Schizosaccharomyces pombe: one gene and its partner. The protein of the gene in region 2 interacts with the protein of the main gene of each other region in a biochemical or structural test. Each region holds a gene or a part of one and is shown on either strand. Other genes may lie near its edges.

Evidence for each region.
Region 1: of the proteins of mcs4 (region 2) and mpr1, one has a biochemical effect on the other in vitro, tested with the Schizosaccharomyces pombe proteins (one study listed by BioGRID).

What each region holds. Positions count from the first base shown.
Region 1 is NC_003423.3:1,201,052-1,210,490, reverse strand, and holds mpr1 (histidine-containing response regulator phosphotransferase Mpr1), read right to left. Parts: upstream 7,440-9,439; 5' UTR 6,735-7,439; coding exon 5,847-6,734; 3' UTR 3,718-5,846; downstream 1-3,717. Other genes in the region: 2-hydroxyacyl-CoA lyase Hac1, read right to left, coding at 1-1,526; SPOM_SPBC725.03 (pyridoxamine 5'-phosphate oxidase), read right to left, coding at 2,678-3,451; aspartate aminotransferase Maa1, read right to left, coding at 8,517-9,439. UniProt on the Schizosaccharomyces pombe protein: Binds to the msc4 response regulator which is part of a multistep phosphorelay system that transmits oxidative stress signals to the spc1 MAPK cascade.
Region 2 is NC_003423.3:3,553,874-3,561,222, reverse strand, and holds mcs4 (response regulator Mcs4), read right to left. Parts: upstream 4,136-7,349; 5' UTR 3,950-4,135; coding exon 2,381-3,949; 3' UTR 2,086-2,380; downstream 1-2,085. Other genes in the region: tRNA pseudouridine synthase Pus2, read right to left, coding at 435-501, 539-1,827; leucine-rich repeat protein Sog2, read left to right, coding at 5,741-7,349. UniProt on the Schizosaccharomyces pombe protein: Response regulator that coordinately controls the stress activated wak1-wis1-sty1 MAP kinase pathway and fission yeast cell cycle.

The DNA of each region.
Region 1 (9,439 bases), 2.4 Mb from region 2:
ATTTGATCATAACGTATACTAGTGCCTAAGGCAGTAGTCGGTAATTGGTGATTATCACGTAAAGTTTCATAAGCATCAGTATCTAATCCATGGTAAACACCATTATTATTGATTACAATTACCAAAAGATCCAGCTGGTTGCGTATGGCGGTTTCCAGTTCCATGGCGCTAAAGCCAAAAGCACTATCACCCTCAACTACCACTATTTTGTCGGATGAATGGGCAAATGCGCTGGCAATAGCATATCCCATACCAACTCCCATTGTTGACATAGTGCCTGCATCCAGTCGACCACGTGGATGAGTTACTTCTAAAAGCTGACGGCCCCGGTCCATTGTATTGGCGCCTTCAGAAACCCAAGTGATATTACGCTTTGATTTGAGCGATAAGCTTTGTAGCTCCTCATTCACGACATACAAAGCATAATTCATTTGCAACGGTATACTGGACTTTCGAGATTCAAGAGCCTTTTTCTCATTCTTGGATCGGGTTTCATTTAACGTGCGAAGGTAAGGGGTCGAGATGCCAACACTGTACTTCCAAGTTTGAACGAGCTTAAAAAGACAATCTATTGTCAGACCTACATCAGCCCAAATTGCTAAATCCAAATCTGCAGCATTGTTTCCTAAAGTTTCAGCATTGGTATCAATTTGAATAAATTTGGCATTAGGAGACCACTTTGGTGGAAGACCATATTGAAATATCCAATTTAAACGTGCCCCTGCTAAGAGCACTACATCTGCATTACGAAGAGCAGCTGACCTTGCCGAAGACACATTTAAGGGATGCGATTCTGGTAACAAACCTTTGCCCATGGGACTCGGAAGAAACGGAATGCCAGTATGTTCAACAAATTCCAAGAGCTGTTTTTCAGCGCAGGCATATGCGGCACCTTTACCAACGACAAGCAGAGGTGCCTTTGCATTTTTTAAATAGTATGCAGCCTTCTGAAGCTGTGTTGGATCAGGTGCACATTTGGGAGAACTAGGAATTGGGGGTAGAGGGTCTTTAGGAAAGTCATCGACAGTAGATTCAATATAATTTGCTGGCAAGTCAACATAGCATGTTCCAGGAGTGCCGGTCATGGAGACACGATACGCTCTTCGAATGGAATCAACAACCATTTTGGGACTTGGGGGGCGCACGGCTAATTTCGTATGAGGTGATAAGTAAGAAACCTGGTCCAATTCTTGGAAGGCCCCACAGTTTTGCTGAAATGTTTCACTGGATCCAGCCAAAAGCAGCAAAGGCCATCGATTGGTTTTAGAATTGAAAACACCGGCCATGGCATGTACAACGCCAGGACCGCCTACCACGACACAGACCCCAGGGCGCTGAGTTAAATAGCCATAGGCAGTCGCTGCATAAGCTGCGCTTTGCTCATTGCGAAACCCGACAAACCGAATTCCACTTGCTTGGATAGCCTCACAAATTTCGATTACGGGAATGCCAACAATGCCAAAAACAACTTTAACCTCTAAGTCCAACAATGTCTTAGCTACCAATTCCGAAAAGCTTATAGACATTGTTATTACAAATTAATATGTACCTCTAAATTGAATAATATTGTTCACCAAACAAAAGCGATGAAAAGCTCAATGCAAAAGAAAGACAGAAGAAAACAAGAAAAGACTAAAGCAAAGTAAAGGTGGGTTTGGTTCCAGTAGCTAGCAATACCGTCCCTATTTCTCAATAAACTGACAAACTGAAGTGTATGTCACTCTGTAAACCAAGTGTTCTATACTTTAGAGAGAAAAAGAAGTTCTGATCTAGATGAGCTTAAATAACAGCAATGCTTAAAAAATGATGGATGAGCAATCCTGTATTTGAAATTGCTAATCCCTTATGTAACCGAGTACTAATAATCCAATGTATAAGCCAATTTGGTAAAATTCCTTAAAGTATTTAATGTATAGTAAGGAATACGTTAACAGGTTTTAAATTTGTATCGTTAATAAGTTAAGATCCACACATGTATTCAATAATGCCACTTAACTCAACGGGGACCTTTACGGTTCTATGAATACTGATTCGATAAAATTAAATGACTTGGCAATTCACCGTCCCTTCAAATAAGACATTGTGTTTCTTATGTGGTGCTTTATTCCCTTTTTTTTGCTACATTTCTACCTGCGTAAGACAATATAAGATAATAAAACAAGCCATATAGTAATAACCTTAATATAATATTATACAGGTAAGATCTTTTAATAAATGATCATCATTAGCAGGTAGGTTGGCCTATTTGCTTAATCTCGCAACAATTTTTTACAATGTCTTCCTGTAAGTACTTTAATACACACAATTTTCATAATTTTTTATTTATTATAAACGTAAATAGTTCATCAAGTGGCCGGATTGGAAATTTGACATAGGATAAGTGATAATTTAGTTGTTTAACAACGTAAATAAACATTAGAAAATTCGGAATACACTGAGTTTGTAGTTTGTACTCAGTATTATGCTTCAGTACTAAAAAAAAATTCAACTACAAAACCCACCGAATTGTAAGCTAGGCAAATTTGAGGGAATCAGACCTTTTTCATATACTCCACAAAAAAAAAGAACCAAAATGTTAGGAGTAATCATTATAAGTTAATATTCGTAGTTCATAAGTATTGCACGTTTATCAAGAGCAATCAATTCATAAAGGATGTGCGAAAAAAAAGGAAAACATTTAGACATTGACACGAGTGGAGGACCATTGTTTCGTGTTTAGATCTCTATTGTGCAAAACGCGCTTTCCTGGAGGAGGGGTAAGATTCAAAAACTCGACTTCGTTAGCCTCACAAACAACAAGAGAAAATCTACCCCAAGCAGTCTTCCAAGCTTCAATAACCCCGGGATCTTCTTTTCCAGTGAGGGTAGAAGGTAAAGGTGACACCTTCACATCGCCTTGGTATTTGGAGTATGAAGGAGGAGTAGAAAAGGAAGCGCGAAGTTCAGGACTATGTAACTCCCAAATACGTCTTCTTTCCTCTTCCCAAGACCATTCTTCGGGAATGCGGCCATTGCTGTTTATTAAATGATCCTGGATCAACTTGTCTGCGGGAAATTCATTTCGGTCGGCAAGTTCTGGTGTGTATAACCAAATTTGACCGGAAATACGAATTTGCTGCATTGTCTTTGGTAACCATCCACACATTTCAAATGCGTTCGGTATGGGTCCAGAGGGGAATGTATTTTTTTGCTGCTCAGCAATCTCAGCAGCTTTGTGAGAAGCAATATCCGTAGAGAATACCAATAAATCTGTAGCTAGCACATCATCGGGACGTGGTTTATGCCATCCTGTACCGACAAATCCTCGAATAGCTACAGTACGATTTCTGGGGTAAATTTCATTACCAGTGGGTAAAGTTGCCAGCTGGAAGTATTCGGGATGAATAACTCCACTGGAGTCGACATTTTCTTTTAAAAGCTTCAATAACTCATTTTTCCAAGCGAGGGACATGTTGGCAAACGATGAAATGGGATGCACGTATGAATCCTATATAAGTCACTTGTTTGACTGAAACGTCATTGACTTTGCTAAGTGTGTCGTACTAAAGGTCGCTCGCTATACAGAAATGATCTCTAGATATCTGTATAAGGCACAACTCTAAAGTTCGGCTAAACTTACTAACGAAATCGTGTGTGATTTCTGAAAAAGCAAATTGTACGTTATCGTGGATTACACTAATTTTTTAAAATATTCCTCTCTTCATCTGCTCAAGAGAATTGGTAAATAGTAAGAGTAAAATCATTTAATATTAGTGCACAGAGAAAGGAAAATAAGAAAATAAAGACAATAACTAGTAACTTAAAACAAAAAAATAAAACTTTTAACTAACAAAAATGGTTTCCCCTTCTAGATCTTCAAAGAACATTGCAATCCATATTCCGTTGTTCAGTACCTTAATCTGATTATTCACAGAACAATGAGCTGCCATCTAGTTTGCAAATTGATATAGAAAAGAGTATGCATTGTCTGTGTACAGGTTTCCAACATTGAAAAAGTGAGAAATGACAGCTTGCATATCCTAACAGATTTCTCTCACACCATTAGTGAGGATGCCTAGTCAATCAAAACCTGTACTTGATTTCAGCAAACTTCGTCCTCTTATCTTTAATTAACATAAGATTAGTCATCTAAAATTTCAACTTTGATACCGAAAAAAGCGGCCAACACCTTCTCGCATACCGGGGTTGAACATCGGAATGCCGAAATGCGATATCAATGAATACATTGTAACATCAGAGGATAAAAACAATGATAAAAATAATTTACAAATTAAATTGTCTCTGTCAGGCGTATCACTTGGATTATGACCATTTGCTTCACATTGCCTAGCAAACTAAGAAGGCAAGCGAGGTTTATGCCTAGTTTTTGCACATCTGTAGCTTCCGCATATTCAATTCATCCCGCATCATTCTAGAAAAACAAGGCGACGAAAAGCTGCACAACGGGTATGAAAATCCTAATAACGCTTCGCCTCCAAAGGAACGTCTATGAATCCGCAGGATCCTACTTGCCGCGCTAATTAACGAGGTATACTTGATTTCGCTGTTTCACACAAATCAATATTTCAATGTTCTCTTGTCTTTGCGGAATCGAACAAACTATACTTCGATTAACAAAAAAAAGAAGTTCGTTAATTTCATTTCATCGCAAACGTGTTTTCTTAGTTTTTATTCTCAAAAACGAACAATCTACAACGAAGAATTGTTTTCGATCTTTAACCCACAACAACAAAAACATTTAGTAAGTGACGCTAAAAGTCAGTTCGATCACACTTGAAAGTACACATATTAAACGCTGAATGAATCAAATCATAAATAATTATTGTATGTAATGACCATTTTAAGGTGTTTTCATTAATCCTTTAAATAATCTCTCTAAAGCGAGATAATGACAAAAGCAATCATAATTACAAAAAGCAAGAACAATATACTTAAAATTTTTGCAAGGTTTGTCAATCAATATTTGAAGTCCACCATAATTCACAACTCAGTAATGTACAAGGACGTGAAGGTTATCACCAAAATCATAAAAAATCCATCAACATCTCAAGTTGAATAATAAAAAAGGTAAACAAAGGAGAATCAGGTACATGTAATGATTAACATTAGGTTAAAGAAAATTTGAAAACACAGTTTAAAAACTTAGGAAAAACATAAAAAAACAACAACAAAGCAAATCAAACTCGAAAAAAAAAAAAATCTGTCGCCAATCGTGGGGATAAATGAGTGTTGAAGAGTAATTTGAATTAACCAAATTCAGCATCTTAAACGACCGGTTGTAAACATATTATCTAAGGTTTAAAGTCCTTCAACATTAGGGGATTGGGCTTGTGATAAACAATCACAATAGACAATTTCGTAAATAAACTAGATAAATAAAGGTATAAATACATGCCACGACCGTAAGAACGTAACAAACAAGAATTTTTTTTTTCGAGAAAGCAGCTTATTAAATACATAAAGTTTGATATCGAGAGCTTCAAAAATGTTCCGTAAAAAAAAACCGCAGGAAAACCCTGCCTGTTGCATATCTCAATATCAAAAAGGTAGACGAGGTAAAGCAAAAAATAGACTGTTTTTGATAGTTTTGGATAGGGGATACTCAACTAAATTGAGGACTTGTATTACTTCACTCTATTTGCTTTGATAGAGGGAAGCACTTCAAAGTACGGGAAAAGTGTGGGCGTCATAATAAATATAACTATTCAAACCGTAAAAGCTGGAAATTCATCACTAACTTCAAGTTATCGTAAATTTGGGAAAACTAGAAGACTTTGATAGACAACTGGTATAAATGTCATAAAAAGGGGGAAAGAAAGGCTAGGTACTTTGACATGTTGAGACTTTTATGTAGAAGAATTTTTTTCATAAAAGTCAAGTAAGTAAGCTCGAGCATCCTTATAAAAGTCGTTCACAACCGACAGAGATTTGCTAATCAAATCCAATGCAATTTCCTCGCTCGGTAATTTCATTACACCATCACGACTGCGTAGAGATCCGTAATTTTGGATACGTTCACAAACCTTTCTCATTTTTGTAAGGCCCAATACAGCTGAAGATCCTTTAAGGAAATGCCCCAACGAGGAAAGCTTCTTCAAATCCTTAGCCTCTAGGGCCTTTTGGAGGTCGGCAATGGTAGTCTCTGCCTGCTCAAAATAATTCCAAACAATACTCTTACTAAATTCATGCTCATCATCATCATCCATCTCAAGCAACTGGTCAAAAACGGAATGATCAATGAGCTGTTTGTCTTGGATGAGTTCATCCTCAAATGACATATCGTAAGCAATTACTGAAAGTTCATCCGACAAGACACCAGCCCCAACCAAAGCTTTGACTGAAGCAGCGGGAAGATTTTTGGCATTCGCATGGTCATCGCTAATAGAATTGGAGATGTCAACGGTCTCCTCCGTGCCTTCAGGTGCGCCAGCCGTCTCATTAGCAGCCAATTGTTGATTGTTTTCACTTTTGCTCGAAGATATACGTGACGTTAGAGCAACATAAGCAGGATTTGAGGTCAGTGGTAAAGAAGTGTCATTCGCTCCAGAACCATTCATAACCCGATAAGCATGGGGGATCGCTGACCCTGAAGGAGAGCGTGCACGTTCAGCTATGCCAGAATCGTGAAGAGTCTTAGCAAGACTAGCGTTACGCGCCTGTCCATTTCTTCGGGCGACACGATTTTCGAAGTTTCGGTCGTATTTCATATACATGTTATCACGATATACACTCATTTTTTAGAAAATAATTAAAAGAAAATCCAAAAAAAAAAGAAAAGGGTTTAAAGTAAGAGCGAATGGAGAAGCTCAGCTAAATTTTATCAGCAGTATTACTTTGCAAACAGTAAAATGTAGCAATCGATACAGAATATTGTATCAGATTTAAGACTTTCCTTTTTTAACAACGATTTGAAATTAAAGCGAGGAAATGTGAGTTATTGAAAGAGGCGTCGACAACACAAACAAATTATAAAAATAATGTGTGGTATGCCAGCAAAATGAAATAATCAACAGTTTCACTAACCTGTAGTACAGTACAAGGGCTATTACCAAAAGAAGAAAATGGCTTTACCACACAACCCACAAATACTAAATAGGATTTGTGGATAAATCTCCTTCAACAACGATTCTAATGGAAAAGAGTCAATACGGTTTTGGAGCTTTTTTTGCGTGTTCGAAACTTTGATGCCAAGTTTTAGACGCCACACAAACTTGCCTTCAGCTTCTGCTAAGTTCTAAAATTATCAAGCTCTACTAAAAAGGCGATATTATTGTTTTCGTATCAATTCAAAAGACAGAAAACCAATCCTCACAAGATTGTTAAGTGCTCTCTCTATAATTAAGTTCAAATGCAACAAGGGTAAGGCAGAGAGTAGAGACTATGGTTTTGCCTGTGCTTATGTCTGATTTTTAGATATTCTAATGTAGTAAATGGGAGACGGAAAGTAGGTAAATGCCGCGAAAGAATTGTTTGCAAAACTCACACTTGGGAGTGACGCCATGCAACGTAATAAAGCAGTCAAATGTACCGATACACAACCACCCAAAACGATAAAGTATATTAATATAATGACGCTACGTCTCACTATACCCCGAATTTCAATGATTCCTCCATATCAGTCAGTGTAGAAAAAAAAGACGAACTGGAGATGGAAGAACAGTTTCCCACCATCTTTGGCATTTTCGGCCATTTCCTAATAAGCGCAGCAATTCCTGATGGCTGTAGCATTGCACATTGGGAGGGAAGAATGATACTCTTTTTGCAGATATTTATTTCGATATCACTACATAGGGCCTATCCTAGTCATTGGAAAGGTGCCAATTTCCAGCGATATTCTCCTATTTTTAGAAATAATTAAAAGCTTTGCACAAATTTCATTCCTACCTCACTTATTTCGTACATCTCAGAAGTTTGATGAACTTGGGAAATCCCAACATATGACAAATGCAATGGGAAAGATAATTGATAGTTTTCCAACGAAAAAGTGGGATTTAATATGTATATGAGAGAGGATAGTAAAATGTGCCAAATTTTGGGTTAACTAGAGGCAATCTAAAGTATGAAGTAAGTGAACTACTAGACAAACATCTACAGAAACAAAGTATGGAAATAAATGAAGATAGACAAACGAAAAGCATACTATTTCGAAAACGAATCAATATTTAGTCAATTTTTAGATCCAAAATCCATTCATTTAAAAACAGACCATGCCATCTATTTGGAAGCAAAACTGTAGTTATTCACCTCAAAGCGAAAGTATAAGGAAAAAAAAATAAGCCGAGACAATTAGGTTACTAAATACGTCTTCTCATGGTTTCGGAGAAATGAAAAGGGAAAAAAAATTAAATGTATACAAATATATGTATATGTATATGTGTGTTTGAGTCTGTCTATATGTATGTATAATAAAATAAAAACAGAAAGAAGAACAAAAAAGATTCAGAACAAAGAATCAATCAAAAATCCATCTGTCTATATAATAAACCAAAATCTTTTCACTTCAATTTCACCACCGACTAATTCGAAGTAACGGCATTGATAGCTTCGGCAAAGTATCTTACATTGGAAGTGTTGAGACCGGAGATGCTAATACGACCATTCTTAGTGAGGTAAATGTGATACTGTTTAGCCAAAACATCAACTTGCTGGGGATTTAAACCAGTATAACAAAACATACCAATTTGGTCAGTGATATGCTTCCAGCTGTGTTTATTCTTAAGGTCCTTTTCAAGGATGTTGCGAAGAGCCTTACGCATACTCTTAAGACGTTCGGACATGCCTACAACTTCACCAGCCCACTGTTCACGAAGTGCAGGGTTGCTCAATATATGGTTGGCAATTCTGGCCCCATTGACGGGAGGGTTGGAATACAAAGCACGAATGAGAATCTTAGTTTGGCTTTCGATACGAGCGGCTTCCTCAGCATCGTTGGCTAAAATGCTAAAGCAGCCAGCACGTTCACCATATAGACCCATGTTTTTAGCAAAGGATTGGCAGAGTAACATGGGGACATTGCTGGAGGCGAACAGACGAGTGGCATAAGCATCACGAGCAAAATCACCACTGGCAAATCCTTGGTAAGCCATGTCTAAAAGAGCAAAATGGTTTTTCTTTTGCATTGTTTTGAGGATATCATCCCACTGAGCTTTCGTAGGATCTACACCAGTTGGATTGTGAGCACAAGCATGCAATAATATAATAGAGCCATCAGGAGCTGAAGTTAAATCGGACAACATGCCTTTAATGTCCAACCCACGAGTAGCAGGATCATAATACTTGTAGGACTTAACGGTCAAGCCAGCTCGAGAAAATACATTCTTGTGATTTCCCCAAGTAGGGTCAGATACGTAAATAGTCTTTGATGGATAAAATGAAGCAAGGAAATTAGCTGCTATACACAAGGCACCGGTACCACTAATGGATTGAGCAGAAACCAGCC
Region 2 (7,349 bases):
TACAAGTAGTCCGATATATCATCAAATTTGTTCTTGCTAGGGTTTAGCAACCTTCTTCAGGGAAAATGAAATCTAAAGAAGGTGAATAAACTAGCTTCGAGCGAATGAACATTTTCATTTCCAGTTTTGCAAATTTATCTACATGAGAGCACGATTTAAAATAAGATATATCAGTTTGAATTAGAAAAAACCTAAACTAATTACTCTGCTATTTACGAAGTGGTTAATATGTGTATATACGTTAGCGCTACCTAAACCTAACAGGGCGTGTGACTGGAATATTCTTATAGGGTAGGGTTTTTGCTTAGTAGGAATGCTTGACAATTGCAAAAAATTAGCTTGCTTGCAGCAGTAGGTTTACAAAGAAAGAGACGAAATGGCTTTAAATTGTAATTATCTATTTGTCAAAATAGACTGTGAGTGTCTTGAACATTTCATCCAAATAAATAATCAAATTGATGTCCAGTATGTTGATCGATATAAGACAGGAAACTGAAAAATCTAGCATGTTAATGTCGTATGTAAATAAAGCACTTACAGTTTCTCTTTTTGTTCTAACTTAATTATGTCGGGGTAAATAGTTTTAATTTTTAAGGACAGAATGTCTTCTTCAAAGCAATCAAATTGAATTTTTTCTAGACCATCTGTAACAGAATCGTTATAAGAAGAAAATTTAATATCTTTTAAAAGAAGAACATGACCTGGACTTTTACTAATGTTCATCGTTATATTTGGATCGAACGCTTTGTCTATTAATCCCGTAGGAGCACAGCTTCGTATAATCATCAGAACATGAGCCATCATTTTACGAATCTGATTTAGCATAAAAGAATTACCTTTAATCGTAACAGGAATCCATTCCCAGTTTTCATAAACAAAAGGAGTTCCGCAAGTAACACTCTCAATGAATCGATAATTACTTGGTGATGTGGAGTCATCAGTGACAGTAAAGTTATGAAAATTATGCCGGCCTTCGTATTTCTTTAAAAGCTGTTGTAAAACCTTTAAACGATCCTCTTTTATACGATAATTCATATAGCAATAATATTCAGCTTGCTTTAAAGCCTTCTTTAATTTTGCTTGGGGAGGTATTACAATCCCAGCCGGAATAGGCTTTTCATAGAACATACCTTTAAATGGGTTAGTGAATGCATCTTTATTAGTATCAAACATTTCTTGTATTTCCTTCTGCTTAAGCTTCACTGTATTCCAAAAAGAAATCAAATCGTTCATTGAATAAACTAAATTTCTTTCTAACTCATTATCCAGTTTTCTTGATAAGTTTTTCTGCATTTTTTTAAAAAGAGGACAAGAGGGCTTAGGAGGAAGTAAAGCAAAAGAAGGAATTAAGTATTCATATGTCCTTGACTCGCAAGAAATCCTAGGATTAAAGTACTTTGGCGCAGGAAAGACACTCCACACACGAATTTGAGAACAAAGTGCTTCATTCAACTCAGTTTTAAGTAAGGAAATATCTAGTGGCTTATCGACAAAAAGATTTAATGATATTAAATTTCTTAATGTATGGACCCCTTTGTCTGTTCTAGCTGCTCGCGCAATACACAAATGTTCAGCATCAATGTTATTTGTTTTTAAATAGCCCAATTTTTTAAGTACAGCTACAACATCTCCTTCAATTGTTTTAAGGGGATTATTTATTTGAATCCCATGGTAACCATAACCAGAATATCCCAATAAAATGATGATACGAACTTTGTTAGATTCTTTTGTGCCCTCGATTTTTTCTCGCTTTGGTAATTTTGGTGTTTCTAGATCCTCTGCGGGTATATGCTCCTGTTGATTTTTTCTTTTCGAGATAGAAGTCATTTTTTATAAAACAAATCTTCTAAAAAAATTTAAAGAAAAAAAAAACACCACAGTTTACTATTAATTACAAAAACGTATTAAAACAAAAGACACAGAAAATATTGGTGTTTAAGTGTGGTATGGACGCAATCAAGAATGATGCACACGAGATTGAAATACGCTCATTTTTTAGCGACATATTAAAAGTCTTTACAACTAAAATATTAGATACGAAAATAAGATATCCTACTTTATTATCTTTGTAGATGAATAACGAAATTTTGGAGTTTTAATGTACAACATAATATTAGGTAAATCAGAAAGTGTTTAGTTATAAGGATAACACAATTAGCAATAAGTATCTATGACAAGCTGATCCATTAATAATTAAGGCAGGTAATTAGGTAAAGGAAAAGAGGAAATTATTTTGCTAGCAAACCATAGCGTCCGACAAATTGATAACCAAAAGATTAATTTTATACAATAAAAGATTACGGAAATAAAATGAGCGGAGCTCGACTTATTGTGGTGAACAGAACAAAACACAGTGATACAAAATTTGGTAAGGCTAATATCATCGACCGCGAAAACGGCACCAACCATTCCAATCAATAAGCGCTTGCATACAGCCCCACTCCGTAATTTTTTTCTCTAGCCAAACTAAAGAGACAGGCTTTGTAAGAAAATCATTGCAACCAGCAGCTAAAGCCTCGTTTCGATCAGCCATTAGGCTAGAAGCAGTAAGTGCCACTATAATCACAGGAGATTGAAATTTGTTTTCATTTAGCTGATCCTTTTCAGGTATCGGTTGTGTCAATTTTGGAGCACCAACTCCAATTGCGTTTAACCGCTCAAGTCTCCTAATTTCTTGGGTGACTTCAATACCGGACATCGTGGGAAGTTGGATGTCCATTAGAATCAAGTGAAAAGATTTCTTTTTCCACTTCTCGAGTGCTTCAAGCCCATCTTTAGCAACCTCCGAGGAAATATTGCGCTTCTTCATAAAAGTCTCTAGGATTTTTTGATTAATAATATTATCTTCAACAATCAAAACGTTAATTGGAGGAATCACTCCTTCAAGTAGACTAGCAAAAGGTGCTTTCGCACCTATGCCGGGACTTGTTAGAACATTGACTGGTGAAGTACCAACAATTCCATCTATTTGATTAGAAGGAAATCCTAAATGGGCTTGTGTATCAGCATTTAAGGGATCTTTGTTGTCTGCTATAGGAAATTGAGAACTGATATCAGGGTTCATCCTATTTGCTGCGTCAATATCAGCATTAACCGCGGGAAGGACTCCTGCGGTACCAGATTGTTTCGTATAAAGCGATGAATGACTAATACTTCTACTATTAGTGGGTGTCGCGACTTCGGCTTTCGCCAATTTTTCAGCTGTTGATTCATCAGACCGAGTCGACATTCCAATAGAATTTTTTCTAGTAATGGATTCGGCTTCGTCTGATGGTTGCGACTTGTCAGCTGAAGTTAGATCTGGTAAAGAGGGTCTTGAAGCCAATGTTTGCTGTCTAGAAGAACGAGGCAAAAGTAGTACGCCAGTTTTATTTACATTAGAGGAAGGAAGAGTTTGATGGGACCTAGTTCGGGATGCATTTCGTAAATTATAATTTAAAGGACCTCCTTTATAAGAATAAGTACTTTGATGTCGTGAAGGGGCAGAAACCGGGCTCTCAAGTGAATCAAGAGCAATGGATGGCTGTTTGATACGCGGGACTGTTTCGTTCGCTGGGGTAGGGATTATGTTAGGTGGGTATTCAGAAAAAACGGGAGGTGTTGATTCAAATGTAGAGGATGAGAGTTGAGAAGAGCGATATCTTAAGGCAACTGAGGTATCCGGCGACGCTACTAGAAGCGCGTCGTTAAAATCCTGACCATGAGGATAATAAGTTTCCATGACAAATAATATGCTTTCGTTGGGACTGAGTTCTCTAGATTGCAACTCCGATGATGCATTTGGTGGAGCTACTACACGAATCGAAAGCTCAGGTGCATCATAATACTGACTGATACGAATAGGGAATTTCCGAGCGATGGCATCTTTTAAATCGTCAACCAGATGATCTTCAGACAATATAACGGAGGAAGTAATCCCATCTGGAACTTTTTTAAACCAAATGCGCATCTTCTATATATCTTCTTTCTTTTGACTTAACCTCAACTTTCCTATATACAGTATGAACAACCAAAACAGCCGCCTGTTTTTACGTTTAACATTCGATAGCTTCTTGTATAATCCCCTTCTATTTTAAATTTAATAGAAATATACAAGTATAAAATCACTGTTCGTGATAAGGAATGAGTAAGGTATGGTTCACGATACAATACGGCAAGCCTACTTAAGGTGTTGAGTTTCGTTACCTAGTCGTGCAACAAGCGCTGGGGATTTAGTAGAGTACTTAGAGTAACACCTTCCATCTGAGGACAAAAATCGAATAAATTTTAACACGTGAAAATAATAGGCACAGCTAAAACTGCGATTGTAAATTATACATTCTACGATACGAGCAAATAAGTATTCGTTTAAAAGGGATACTGTTGTGTTATTGACTTACTATTAGAATTCGACATTACTAAAATTTAACTAATTGAGTAATTGTTTCTGAAATTTATTCCTTATTTTAGATTTTATTTAAAGTATGTAGTTTAAAAAAAAAAAAAATTAAACGTTATACCCATACTTAGTTGGCTACCATTAATGGTCCTATTACTACTTGTCAGGTTTGGATATTTAATGACTCAGATTAAATGATTTAATCAACACAAACCAATATTTTTGAAATTCAAAAATAATGAGGCTTCAATTTCTCAATGAGAAACCAAAAAAAATTATTTTAGATAGTAACCCATTTAGTCATAGAAAAAAAAACCGTGTTTGATTATATGTACAATTTATCAACTCATTTATTTTTATCAGGTTCTTAAATCATAATGATAAACCTAGGCGATTCTATTAGGAAGCAATATATTAAGGACTAATAAAATAAACAATAAATATTAATGATTAGGAAATCAAACGCACCAAGATAATCAAATTGATAAACAAACTATAGATAAATGACAGAAATATTGAATCAACAAAATTGCAACTCATTCAAAAAGTTATCAATTTACACTTAAAGAATTATTTACCACAAAACATACTGTAGCGTTAGCATTTGTTGCTCCTGTTAATAACGACTTCTGATCTCGATGAACTCAAAAAGTTCGAACCAACATAATATAGCGAGTGCTTTTGATCATTCAAGAATTAGAAATGAATGCTAACAATACTACATTACAATTACGAATTACTATATGTCACATGTTCTGATTACCTATCGTCTTACAAATGATAACAATACGATGTAGATCCACTAATAAATTTTTTAATTTATTAGCTAGAAATGATAGATGTAAAATCAAAGGAACAACGTTCTTTAGTTCAGCTGTGGTGGTTTGTTTAGAGATAAATTACATTACCGCCTTCATACAAGGATATCCGTAACCCCCGTTATCATACAACCATATGTACCGCTATGTAGTGCACATACGAAAATCAAGTAGTCTAACATATCATTAATGATAATTACGAACTGCATAGCTAAAAAAAATAAAACGCAATATCAAACTTAACGAAAATATTTTGTGTAAACGTTAATAAACTGTAATTATTTTAAGGAAAAGTGCTTATTCACGTTGTTAAAATAAAAAAGTACAACCTACAGATGCGTACACAGAAAGAAGTGAGTTTATTCGTTCCGCGAACTAGCTTGGCAGTAAATTTTGGGGAATTGACTTTTGTACATTATAGCATACCATTGTGGATCAATTTTATGTTCATTGCATTTTTTTAGTAATTATTACTTCTTAGAGTTCCTTTTTTTTTCAACAAAACCTTCGGATTTACGTCTGAGGTGATCGATCTTTTCATGCTATGTCTGCTCATGAGGTGTCCTCCACAAAAAACTCAGAAATTGAAAGAATTATTAAAGAGGCAGAAGATGCGGGTCCTGAAAATGCACTTACGTTAGATCTATCTCATCTAAACTTGCGGGAATTACCTTATGAACAATTGGAAAGAATCCAGGGTCGGATAGCGAGACTAGCGCTAGGCCATAACTTTATAAAGAGTATTGGTCCTGAAATCCTAAAGTTTACTCGTCTCCGGTACCTAAATATTAGATCGAATGTCCTTAGAGAGTTTCCCGAATCTTTGTGTCGACTTGAGTCACTTGAAATTTTAGACATTTCTCGCAATAAAATCAAGCAACTGCCAGAATCCTTTGGAGCTTTAATGAACCTTAAAGTTCTTTCAATTTCTAAAAATCGTCTTTTTGAGCTTCCCACCTACATTGCACATATGCCGAATCTTGAAATTCTTAAAATTGAAAACAATCACATTGTGTTTCCTCCTCCGCATATCGCTAATAATGACTTGCAAGATTCTGATATGCAGTTGTTTATTGCCAATATAAAGGGATATTTGTCGCGAAACGAATCAGTCTTTAGAACGCGAAGTGAAAGTACTGTTTCCGCTGCTTTATCCGCTTCAGCTAATCTTAGTCACTCGGAAGAAAATGACTCCTCTGTGGTTGATTCTTACTTATTTAGTGCCCCATCAGATACTAGCCATGCGGTTTCACCTGGCATGCTGACGTTTGTCACGCCAAGTCCCCATTCACATTCTCCTGCCGGGCATCAACAGTCCACACCCAAATCGACTTTGTCAAAGACAAATGAGAACTCAGAAGGAACATTGTATGATTCAAATGTTGCTCATGGATGCACTCATCCTCCATCACTTAATCAATTAAACAAATTTCATCTAGATGCGTCGCCTAGACAAGCCCGTCCTCGTAGGTCAGTTTCTTTAGCTACTGGCCTCAATTCTCCTTCTGTTTCAAAACCACCTTCTTCTGCTACAGGACCATTGTACCATTCACCCCAAAGCTCACTCACCAATTCCTCCGTCGCTAGTGCAGACGTTCAAGAACGTACTCACAATACTAACGGCGCTAGCCCCATTCAAGACCAAATTTCAGAATTCACTGATCAACATCAAAATCCCTCAAATAATGATGCTGCTTCCACACAATCGATTCTAAAAACAGCTCCAACGCAGTTGAGTGCGAGTGCTAAAACATCAGCCATAAGTTTACCTGAGGTTGCCAAGAAAGAGCGTAATAGAAGCAATAGTACAAATGATGATTACTCTTCTACTAGACTTCCATCGAGTGTTTTACATCGTCTTGAAGCCCTTAAAGAAGCGCGCAAACTTTCTGAGCAATTACCAAATCGAATTTTTGCTCAAGATCCTCATCCTTCCCCTCGTTTGAAAAAAGAAGAAACGCATGAAAATGGCTCCAATTTGACAAATGACTCGGTCAACAGCTACTTCAGTAACATTGGAGGGAGTGAGGTTGAAATGAAGCACTCGGCCTTTGAAAAAACTTTAGAGTCGTCTAGGGGCATATTGTTTTCGCTTTCGCAAGTCCAACAAGCCCTTCGTCAGCAACTTCTTTTTTGCAGCAACCCCGTTGTTT